Linked DNA regions of Macaca mulatta. The protein of the gene in region 3 purifies or fractionates together with the protein of the main gene of each other region. This does not show direct contact. Links are inferred from orthologs where the notes say so. Each region holds a gene or a part of one and is shown on either strand. Other genes may lie near its edges.

Evidence for each region.
Region 1: the proteins of PRPF40A (region 3) and NCBP3 purify together in Homo sapiens (affinity purification with mass spectrometry; 3 studies listed by BioGRID and IntAct, counting the BioPlex papers as one, with this or other methods). This does not show direct contact. The link is inferred for Macaca mulatta from reciprocal best matches to the Homo sapiens genes PRPF40A and NCBP3.
Region 2: the proteins of PRPF40A (region 3) and RBM25 purify together in Homo sapiens (affinity purification with mass spectrometry; 5 studies listed by BioGRID and IntAct, with this or other methods). This does not show direct contact. The link is inferred for Macaca mulatta from reciprocal best matches to the Homo sapiens genes PRPF40A and RBM25.

What each region holds. Positions count from the first base shown.
Region 1 is NC_133421.1:5,298,853-5,302,499, forward strand, and holds part of NCBP3 (nuclear cap-binding protein subunit 3), read right to left. Parts: intron 2,291-3,647; coding exon 2,136-2,290; intron 495-2,135; coding exon 333-494; intron 1-332. UniProt on the Homo sapiens protein: Associates with NCBP1/CBP80 to form an alternative cap-binding complex (CBC) which plays a key role in mRNA export. NCBP3 serves as adapter protein linking the capped RNAs (m7GpppG-capped RNA) to NCBP1/CBP80.
Region 2 is NC_133412.1:146,280,219-146,283,865, forward strand, and holds part of RBM25 (RNA-binding protein 25), read left to right. Parts: intron 1-615; coding exon 616-766; intron 767-3,527; coding exon 3,528-3,647. UniProt on the Homo sapiens protein: RNA-binding protein that acts as a regulator of alternative pre-mRNA splicing. Involved in apoptotic cell death through the regulation of the apoptotic factor BCL2L1 isoform expression.
Region 3 is NC_133417.1:57,628,274-57,632,433, forward strand, and holds the start of PRPF40A (pre-mRNA-processing factor 40 homolog A), read right to left. Parts: upstream 2,839-4,160; 5' UTR 2,817-2,838; coding exon 2,607-2,816; intron 1,510-2,606; coding exon 1,378-1,509; intron 35-1,377; exon of another isoform or gene 3-34; coding exon of another isoform or gene 1-2. Other genes in the region: ARL6IP6 (ADP-ribosylation factor-like protein 6-interacting protein 6), read left to right, coding at 4,003-4,160.

The DNA.
Region 1 (3,647 bases), on a different chromosome or scaffold from region 3:
TTTATAAAGTTTATAAAATGTGGCAAACAACTACGATAAAATGCTATGTGAAAAAAGTAGGACTTGTATGTGGACAAAGACCAGAATAGCTCACATGAAACTAAAAAGATTTGTGCCAAGCAGAAAGAACCAGGAGTGTGCTATTTTTTCCTATGCTCTAAGCATTCCTTACTGTTGAGATGATGCTGATGCTGATACTGATGATAACTATAATGGAAAAGGAATAATCACTTATGTTTGTCATGGGCTGTTTCTTGCCGTCTGCTCCAATACACCCATTGTCCTCTGCTCTCACTGAATCCCCATTCCCATCGGTTTTAAGTGTTACCAACCTGATTTCTTCTCCCGAGTATCGGCGTAGAGGCCTTTAATATCTTGCCTGGGAACACCGAGCCTACTATGCACATCAGAAGAGGGCTCTCTCCGAACGACTGGGTTACTACTAAAAGCCTTTTCCGGAGAATATGGTCTTTTTCCTAATCGCTGGCGTATATCTGAAAAAAGAGAAGAATTGCACCAGTGACCATGTGTGTGCTTTATGCTCAGAACCAGCCGCCTGAGACCTCTACAGGATCTGGCACTAACCCCTGCCCTGCCCCCCAAGTGAGGACACAGGACCTGACAATCAGGCTGCTACGTAGTCTTCCTTTGTAGTCAGTATGGATATCCCTAGGAAAATTCGGACATAGGGGCTGTCAGAGGAAAAATCCTCAACTGACTGCTCCAGAACTAAATTTCTGAAGAAACAACCATTTTTTTTTTAAAGCAGAATCAAGCAGACTAAATAATTTACAAAAGTTTCAGCAAACAAAAAATCCCGTGAGCTCCCGGAAAGCGGAAGGCACAATCTTTGAACATATAAGTAGTTTCCAATAAACGTATTACATTTACCCAGTAAATACAAAGAGACTGGAAAAAGCAAAGGATCCCTCAATCCCCCCAGAAATCTGCCTGTCCTCTGGGGTTCCCTCTCACAACGACAGCAACAACAGAAACACACTCATTGGCAAGGCCCTGTGCCGAGGCCTCCTCTCACTTTAGCTTCTCTCGGAGAGCAGCACCCTGGTCTCTCCGGTCACTGAGGCCTGAGCTCCTTTCCTCCAACGCTTCCTAGCACTGAGTCTTCCTTCACAAGACTTCCTGTTCTTTATCCATTCTGTCTCCACCGACCTAGTTCAGGCTTGTTACTTTTTTAACTCTCTACCCCACCCCACTCCACCCTCAAGTTATCTTTCTAAAACAGATATAAGATCAGGTTACTTCCCACGTAAAAAAAAATCAGGTTTGCCAACAGAGATCCTACCCTCCCCAAAGCCTGGCTCTAACGCTACTTTCACTGAGAAACCTTTCGCAATTTCCCTAGTAGATCTATGGTGGCTCTGCGTCTCCTCCAAAGGCTTCTGACATTCCTAGCACCTAGCCCAGGGTCTGGCACATAGCAGATACGGCTGAAGACCTGCGGAATCAGTGTTTGAACATACAAATGATCTAGTTCAAACTCTTAACCATTCAGACAACCACCCAACTTAATTTCTATTATTCCTGGATATAAAGTATACCAGTGTCATAGAGTCAAATATGGTCGGCCCTCCTCATCCATGGGTTCCACATCTATAGATTCAACCAACTGCTGATTGAATACATTTGGGGGAAAAAAATAAAACATAACAGTACAGCAAAAAATAATACAAATTTTACAAAATACAGGATAAGAATTTATACTGTATTAGGTATTATAAATAATCTAGAGATGACTTAAAGTATATGAGAAGATGTGTGTAGGTTATATGCAGATAATATGTCACTTTATATGAGGGACTTAAGCATCAATGGATTTTGGTATCTGCAGATTTTGGTATCTGTAGGGGAGCGGGGAGGGGGTCCTAGAAGCAATCCCCCAGAGATACCAAGGAATAACTAATTATTTGGAATGAAAATATTTAAAGCTAGTTTTTCAGAAGTCTGATTATTTTTCATCTCCTAAATTTCCAACACCTAGCCCACAATTTAGACGTAATGAACCAGGACAGCTACATCAGTTCACAGATCGCATGTTTTACTCAGGGACCTATCTCTGCCCCAGTCTGCTTTCTGGAGCTCAGAATCCAGCCAGGAATCCAAGAGAAGAACAGCACCTGATTTAGTACTGCTGACTGGCGGCCGCGGACGGGAGTGCTGACGCTTCTCATCTAGTAGATGTCGGACATCTGCAAATTTCTCAGGTGGTAATTTGTTACCAATTCGGTTTTTGATATTGCTTGAAGATACACTATCTGCCCTCATGGAGTTCCTTTAAAAAGGGGGTAGGATGGGGCACAGTTAACCAACTTCAACTGTGAGACAAGGCCCAAACAACAATCTCATACTTTGGAGGAAACAATTTAAGAAATCCAGTCTAATATGGCCAACATTCACTTACAAATCCATAAACTTATAATTATTTGCTTATGGAAACCATGATCTGCCCGCTCTAAAGAGACTGGTCCGAGTAAGCAGGTTTTCGAAGGTGGTTTCCACACGTGTATGTGCTATCACAGAGCACGTAACTACAATCCCCCTCTTCCGGGACAAATGTTAAGTAGAGGCCTACAAAGGGATTGGGGCTTCCGCTCACACATGCTGTGATTTGGCTGTAGTCAACACACGGTATAGTCTACAGTCTCTCTCTTTAAAGGGCAGACTTCTCTTCTAAAGAGATATGATACCATGCTAGGTGCCAGCACCGTTCCAGCAGCATTCTCTACCAGAAGGTTCTCTGAAAACTAAAAATGAGAATGTGGGGCCTGGCGCAGTGGCTCATGCCTGTAATCCCAGCACTTTGGGAGGCCGAGACGGGTGGATCACGAGGTCAGGAGATCGAGACCATCCTGGCTAACACGGTGAAACCTCATCTCTACTAAAAATACAAAAAATTAGCCAGGCGTGGGGGCGGGCGCCTGTAGTCCTAGCTACTGGGGAGGCTGAGGCAGGAGAATGGTGTGAACTCAGGAGGCGGAGCTTGCAGTGAGCCGAGATGGCACCACTGCACTCCAGCCTGGGTGACAGAACGAGACTTGTTTCAAAAAAAAAAAAGGAAAAAAAAACCCTTCTGGAAAAAAATAAAGCAATACTTACCATCTTTTTAAACACGTATATTGTTTGTATAATAACTAGACTTTGAGGAATTTATTTAGTTAGTGCAATTGTAAGAAAATAGAAACCTAAAGTCCATCAAAAAGTAATTGGTTAAATAAATCATAATACTTTCAAACAACAGACTACATACACTTGAAAAAAATAATGTCTACAATATGTTAAGTGAAAAATGCACAATGCAAAACTATAAATAGCATAACCTCATTTTTATAAAAAAAACACTTTTATACAAATACATCTATAGTTTTTCCATGTGCCATATATATACACACACACACACACACACAAATAGCTGAAAGGTCATTCGCCAAATTGCTAACAGTAGTTACTGTGGGGAAAGAGTGGGAATACAGATGATTGTCACTGTCTAGGTTGTCTGTTGTTTTCATAACAAGACTCACTGCTTATACAGAGGAAATATTGGAGGCGTTTATTAAACTCCTACAAGGGACTGAAATCAGAATAGATAAAAGATATAAAATTAGGAGGAATTAAGAAGTTATAATTTAAAA
Region 2 (3,647 bases), on a different chromosome or scaffold from region 3:
ACATTGTAATTAGTTGCTTAAATTTAAAGAGTGCCAGGGATTTGGCTTTGTAGAAAATGCCATGAAATCAGTAAAATTATTGAAGGCTAGAAGCATAAAGTGGCAATGTATAACGTCAACATTCTGAGAAGTAATGAACTGTTAGATAGGAGAGAACCTCTGCTTTCTGTTGATTCTGCACTACTTTCTGAGATATTTTTTACAAGTGAATAAATTGAGGATACAGAACTCTCAGTGCTACTAATGCTACTTTATATATTTTTTTATGTTGGTATCTAGGAAAATGAAAATTATTTGTTGGGTATTCCTTGTGAAATAGGCACAAAATGTGAGCTGCCTTTCTGAAAGCGACTATTTTACTTCTTTAAACATTTATTAGAATGACTTTAAGGATGAAGGGAACGTAGTGGTAAATGACAAGATAATGCTTATTTGTTATACATTTACAGGTAGAGAACACACTCTGGTGTGTTCTATAAATATGGAACATTAAGACATTCTTTAACCTCTTAGCATGCAGGTTGTAGTATTGAAAAGAGGTGCTGTTGGAGATGTCATGTGTACTGCTCAATGATCTGAGTATTAAATGAAGCCTTTTATCATTCACTTTTACAGAGGAAGTGCTCTTCAGAAAAGATTGCGTGATAGAGAAAAGGAAATGGAAGCAGATGAACGAGATAGGAAGAGAGAGAAGGAAGAGCTTGAGGAAATCAGGCAGCGCCTTCTGGCAGAAGGGCATCCAGATCCAGATGCAGAGCTCCAGAGGGTAAGATACTATACACCATCCACATGATTTTGTTTTAAGGTTATCATGTCATCTTAAAGCCAACTATGATGCAGTTTAATTTATAGTTAAGGGAAATGCATTTTATGCTCCATGTAACGTGCTATTTTGTGGAACGTTATTAGTACTTTAATTACACAAGTTGTCAGTATTAGTTGATTTACAACTTCATTCTAAACATCCTGCGGATGTCTTATTCATTTGTTTTCTATGTATGTCTTTTTTTTTTTTTTTTTTAATGGAGTCTGGCTCTGTCTTCCCAGGCAGGAGTGCAGTGGTGCGATCTCAGCTCACTGCAAGCAATCTCTGCCTCCTGGGTTCAAGTTATTCTCCTGGCTCAACTACCCAAATAGTTGGGATTACAGGTGCCCGCCACCACGCCCAGCTAATTTTTGTATTGTTAGTTGGAGACAGGGTTTCACCATGTTGGCCAGGCTGGTCTACCTCAAGTGATCACTGGCCTCGGCCTCCCAAAGTACTGGGATTACAGGCATGAGCCACTGCACCTGGCCATTCTATTGTATGTCTTTTTTTTTTTTTTTTGAGACAGAGTCTCACTCTGTCGCCCAGGCTGGAGTGCAGTGGCTGGATCTCAGCTCACTGCAAGCTCCAACCTCCCCAGTTTACGCCATTCTCCTGCGTCAGCCTCCCGAGTAGCTGGGACTACAGGTGCCCGCCACCTCGCTCGGCTAGTTTTTTTGTATTTTTTTAGTAGAGACGGGGTTTCACCATGTTAGCCAGGATGGTCTCGATCTCCTGACCTCGTGATCTGCCCGCCTCGGCCTCCCAAAGTGCTGGGATTACAGGCTTGAGCCACTGCGCCCGGCCTATTGTATGTCTTCTAATGCCACTTTGCTAGAATCTGTTATTTCTATAGTTGAACCTGTTCTTCCTATAATTTGCTCTGACACTTACTTTCTGCGATTTAAATTCCTTCTCTATTGCCATTCAAAGTATTTTGTTTTTATTTATTTATTTTGAGATGGAGTTTCACTCTTGTTACCCAGCCTGGAGTGCAATGGGCGTGATCTCGGCTCACTACAATCTCTGCCTCCCGGGTTCAAGCGATTCTCCTGCCTCAGCCTCTGGAGTAGCTGGGATTGTCTAATTTTTTATGTTTTCTTAGTAGAGACAGGGGTTCACCATGTTGTCCAGGCTGGTCTCGAACTCCTGACCTCAGGTGATCCACCCGCCTCGGCCTCCCAAAGTGCTGCTGGCATTACTGGCGTGAGCCACCGCACCCGGCCAGTATTTTGTTTTTAAAATAAAGCTGTTTCCTTTTTTGTTTTTTGTTTTGTTTTTTTTTGTTTTTGAGATGGAGTCTCGCTCTCTTGCCCACACTGGAGTGCAATAGTGTGATCTCTGCTCACTGCAGCCCCTGACTTCTGGGTTCAAGGAATTCTTCTGCCTCAGGTACCCAAGTAGCTGGTTAGTATTAGGGATTACAGGTGCATGCCACCTTGCCTGGCTAATTTTTGTATTTGTATTTTTATTTTTTTTTGAGACGGAGTCTCGCTCTGTCGCTCAGGCTGGAGTGCAGTGACCGGATCTCAGCTCACTGCAAGCTCCGCCTCCCGGGTTCACGCCATTCTCCTGTCTCAGCCTCCCATGTAGCTGGGACTACAGGCGCCCGCCACCTTGCCCGGCTAATTTTTTGTATCTTTTAGTAGAGACGGGGTTTCACCGTGTTAGCCAGGATGGTCTCGATCTCCTAACCTCGTGATCTGCCCGTCTCGGCCTCCCAAAGTGCTGGGATTACAGGCTTGAGCCACCGCGCCCGGCCTGTATTTTTATTTTTATTTATTTATTTTTTTGAGACGGGGTCTCGCTCTGTCGCCCAGGCTGGAGTACAGTGGTGTCATCTCGGCTCACTGCAAACTCCGCTTTCCAGGCTCCAGGAATTCTCTTGCCTCAGCCTCCCGAGTAGCTGGGATTACAGGCATGCACCACCACTCCTGACTAATTTTTGTATTTTTAGTGGCAACGGGGTTTTACCATGTTGATCAGGCTAGTCTTGAACTCCTGACCCCAAGTGATCCGCCCATCTTGGCCTCCCAGAGTCCTGGGATTACAGGCGCGAACCACCGTGCCTGGCCTTTTTTTTTTCCCTGAGACAGAGTCTGGCTTTGTTGCCTAGGCTAGAGTGCAGTGGTGGAATCTTGGTTCACTGCACCCTCTGCCTCCTGGGCTCAAGTGGTCCTCAGGCCTCTACCTCCTGAGTGTCTGGGACACTTACAAGTATGAGCAGAGTGCCTAACTTCTTTATACTTTTTTGTAGAGATGGGGTTTTCCTGTTTTACCCAGGTTTGAGCCACTGCCCATGTCCTTTTTTTTTTCTTTTTCTTTTTCTTTTTTTTTTTTTTGAGATGGAGTCTTGCTCTGTTGCCCAGGCTGTAGTGCAATTCTGCGAGGCTCACTGCAACCTCCACCTCCCAGGTTCAAGCGATTCTCCTGCCTCAGCTTCCTGAGTAGCTAGGATTACAGTCTCACACCACCACACTTGGCTAATTTTTGTATTTTCAGTAGAGACAGGGTTTCACCATGTTGGCCAAGCTGGTCTCAAACTCCTGACCTCAGGTGATCTGCCTGCCGCGGCCTCCCAAAGTGCTGGGATTACAGGCGTGAGCCACCACGCCTGGCTTTTTCTCTTTTCATAAAGACATTTTACAAGAGATAATGTAAAACAAAAATCAAGTTGAATGGTGTAGAGTTGTAGTTAATCAGATTATTGTTTTGGTTTTAGATGGAACAAGAGGCTGAGAGGCGCAGGCAGCCACAAATAAAGCAAGAGCCAGAATCAGAAGAGGAGGAAGAAGAAAAGCAAGAAAAAGAAGAAAAACGAGAAGAACCCATGGAAGAGGAA
Region 3 (4,160 bases):
ATCTGGCAGTAGCAAATTGTTTTATTTTATCTTTCTGTGGAAAGAAACTAATTTTAAATAAGAACCAGAGCATTTAAAGAATAAATATTTTTAAAGCTCATTATCTAGTTAGAGCAGCTCTACCAAGAAAACAAGAAGAGCTCCTTGCTGCTTAGAGATGGAAAGAAACAGAAGAGGAATCAAAGTTGTTTCTCCATCACCTAGAGAGTTTTAAAATTTGTGTTATTCTAAAGTCACAGAATAAAAGGCTCTTTTATTTAAAGAACTCCTGCAAGCAGAATCTTTTGGGGCTGGTGTCTTTGAATAAAGGTTTTTTTTTGTTTTTTTTTTAAACAAAATTAAGGGCAACATTCCAAATTAAAAAAAAAAGAGGAAAATCACTTGACATTAAGCCCTTCTACTCTTAAGGTTAAGTAAAAAGAGACAGACACATAGCAAGCTCCTTTTCCCACTGCAATTTCACCAATAACTTTAACCATGAAAGCTTAAACAATTATCAAACAGTACTAATTAGCAAAAGATCACATGAAATTGGCTTCCAAAATATTTTGTTAGCCTAAATTTTTGATGATTTATGGAAATACTCAAATGGAAATAACCCAGCCACCTAAAGATCTATATAGAACTTAACATGGAGCACAAAATTACTCATGGTAACTGAACCTGTTACCTTTCTTAGATGCTTCTCTAGAAACTCAGTTCTACCGAAATCACTGAATCAGCATTAAAACCTTTTGATCCAAATCACTTCTACAAAATGTCCATTTACAATTTATGCTAGAGATGGAAGGGACAGCTCATAAGCAGGAGTGTAGAAGCAATAAGCATTAAAAAAAATAGTGTAAGTGGAAAATGAAGTACCTACTGGCACTGTCCTATGAAGAATCAGAATTATAGAGCACAAACCCCCCACCCTCCCTCACTCTCCTCCAACACACACAGAGGAAGATATTTCAGGAATAAAATTCGCTCTAAACCAAAACAATTGCTATTTTCAGATTCTATTTATTTACATGGTCTACCAAAATCAGTTATGTTGCTGTATCAGATAATATTTACTTTTAGACCATTAACTTCAATTGGCATGGTTGAAAAAATAATCATTAAAAATAAAAGCCTGGACGCACACTTTACTTTTAAATAATAATAAAAAAAAATTCTTAGTTTTGAGGTAATCAGTAAATTTCTCAGGAGACTTTTTCATTACATTCAAATTTCCATTACATTCATGATTCAACATTTGGCTTATTTAAAATTATTCGGGCATAAACTAATCCTTAAACAGCTATAACTATTGACCTAGATTTTGAAATCTTGACAGAATACCTGAGGCAAAAACAAATAAATAAATGCAAAATAAAATAAAAGCATTCTTACTTGTCCCATTGGTGGCCCTCCCATAGGGGGCATCATCTGTGGCATCATTCCATGAGGTACAGGAGGCATATTCGCTCTCTGACCCATAGGGTGCATTCCCATTGGGGCATAATGCATGCCAGGGTGCCCCATCTGAAAAACAGCGAACGTTTTTAAATGAGCAAATAATACTAAACGCTTCTCAAAAATCTCATTTCAACAAATCAGTTATCTGAAGCAACCTAATATTAAGCTTATGCATAATAATGTCACTGGATTAATCTATACCTTGTTTTAAACAAAATGCATTCTGCTAGTATTTAAAACGAGCTTGCAAATTCCGCAACAAAACGGGAAAAGTTAAGATGATTACTGGACAGCTGGATCATAGGTTTTCTCTTTTTTTTAAGCATTGACTTAATCAGCTACTAACTGGCTTGCTAAGCTTGGAGGATACATATTGAATACTAATCTTAAAACTGTTACAGTGAAAACAACAATTCTTCTATTTCATGCAAATATAAAAAATAGCCAGCTATTGTTATTTTATAACACTACTGATTTTAAACTTTAAAATGCTCTATCATATTAACTCAGGTGAAAGTCAGTCTTATAAAACACAAACAGTAGTGCCACCCAGGGACAATTCACTCCTAACAAACTTATTTCCTAACATAACCTTTAAGACAGGTAAAATTCCTTCTGTCAAAAATACATTTTTAACGACTGAGGTTCTGTTACTCACGGACACTAAATGCAAACAACTAATTCATCCCTTTCAACGCAATTTAAAAAGACAACTACTTTCTTTACCGATGAGTCCATTGTTCCATGTTTTAAATTAAAACCAGCTAATTATCTCCTGTCAATTGTCCTAACAGTTCCCCATGCAGACGACCCCACAAGTAATGAAAACAAATTTTGGCAGCCGCTGTTAAAGTCTTACAGAATCAAGCCCCTCCCTCCCCCTTCCAGCTAAATCGGGCCTAAAGCTCCAAGACGCTCACCCCGCCCAAGAGCCAGCACCTTCACCACGCATCTGTCTAGGCCAAGCCTACGGGGTACTTCCAGGGTCTCACATCCTTCTTTGTGCATCCCCACCCTCCACTTCTCTCCCTCACAACATATCCCACCATCTCGAGTTCTTCCTTCGTCCACTCTTATCTTCTTCTCCTTTCGGAGAAAGCTTCCTGTTTCTCTCACTCCGTTTTTCATTGTGCCGCCTTCCCCCTGCCCCACTGATCCCTTACCGAGGGCCGTCTCCTCAGGAAGCCGTCAGCAGAGACCCAAGAGCCGGAGCAGAGGCTTGAGCCGGACAATCTCCGCTCCCCGTCCCCAGGACCCTGCGAGGGAGGATGGCTCTCCATTTCACTCACCATGAGGCCTCCACGTTCAGCTCCCGTCCCCGGCCTCATCGTCGGGCTCAGACTGCTCCGCCGGCGGCCACTGCCGCTACACATACCAACAAGAAGCGATCTGAGTGGCTGGCGCCCACTGGGGCTAAAGGTTAAAGGCTGCCCTGCGCTACGGGGCGGGATCAGCGAGGCCAACAGGCTGACGGGCTTTCCCGCTGTCCAATCAGAATGCGCGGCCGACACGCAACTCTGCGGCGATTCGCCCGCAGCCTCAGCCTCACTCGGCGTCGCCTGCATGGGGCGGGGGGAGGACGGAGGAAGTTTCTGCGCCGAGTCCTCCGTCGGGAAAACTCTACCAACTTCCCCAGGGGAAGGGAAGACAACCGTGTCCCAGCTTCCCGAGCTTAGACCGCCTCACCCCGTAGGGGGTGGGGCAGTGGGGTCTGCCACCTTCCCCCTCCCCGCCCGAGTTACGTACGCCCCACAAACCTGAGGCCGCCAGGGGTAGGGTGGAGGGGGCGGGGGTAAGCAGCCTCTAGTGTTAGCGGTGGCTGGGACCGAATGCGCGCGCGCAGTGCTCGAGGCGGAGGGGAGGGGGCGGGGAAGGCGAAAGGAGGGGTTCCGAGGAGAGGGTTCGAGCTCGGTACGCACCAGGTGGAGAGCGCGCGCCTGGGCGGAGGAGGAAGGAGGCGTGTCGAGTAGCGTGAGGGAAGTTGTGGTACGGGTGGGGAGAACCACACTAAAGGGAGATGGGGTGAGCAGTGAAGGCACCGCCAGAGTACCAGGCAGAGAGCTGCCCTTTCTTAATAGGGGAACCTGGAGAAGAGTGTGAGCGTAGAGGGGAAGAAGGGAGAAGGCAAATAGGTTCGGGAATGTGTCGAAGGCGCGGGAGGGCGCTAGGACCCGGCGTCGAAAAGATGCGGCTTTGGGGCTGTCGGGTCTCGCGCTCCCGTTGGTGACGCGGCAGTGGCGGAGGTGTCCGGCAGGGATGAAGCGCTGCAGGGAGTGGATACTCGGCCGCCTTCGGCCTCCGCCCACTTCTCGCTGCGCGCTTTCCTGCTCCCCCTTCCGGCTACAGCCCTGGGGTCGAGCTCTGGTCCAAGCGCATCCCACCTCGCCTCAGGCCCTACGACTTCCTTTGCAACCCGCCGCCCAACCTTGCTCTCCGTGGTTTACCCCTGGGTTCTGAGGCATGGTGGTAGCGGCCACGGCCGCGGATTGGCTGTTGCGGACCCGGGGCGGGGCAGGTGGGAGAGGCTCATACTCCGCGGGTTTCGCTGTGCTTCGCGCCATGTCGTTAGCGGAGAGCGGGTGGCGGTCGGCTCTGCGGCGCCGCCGTCCCGGGACCCCGGGCCCTGTGGCTGGGCCAACATATTCCTCCTTTACTCAGGGGGACAGTTGGGGTGAAGGCGAAGTCGACGAGGAGGAGGGATGCGACCAAGTGGCCCG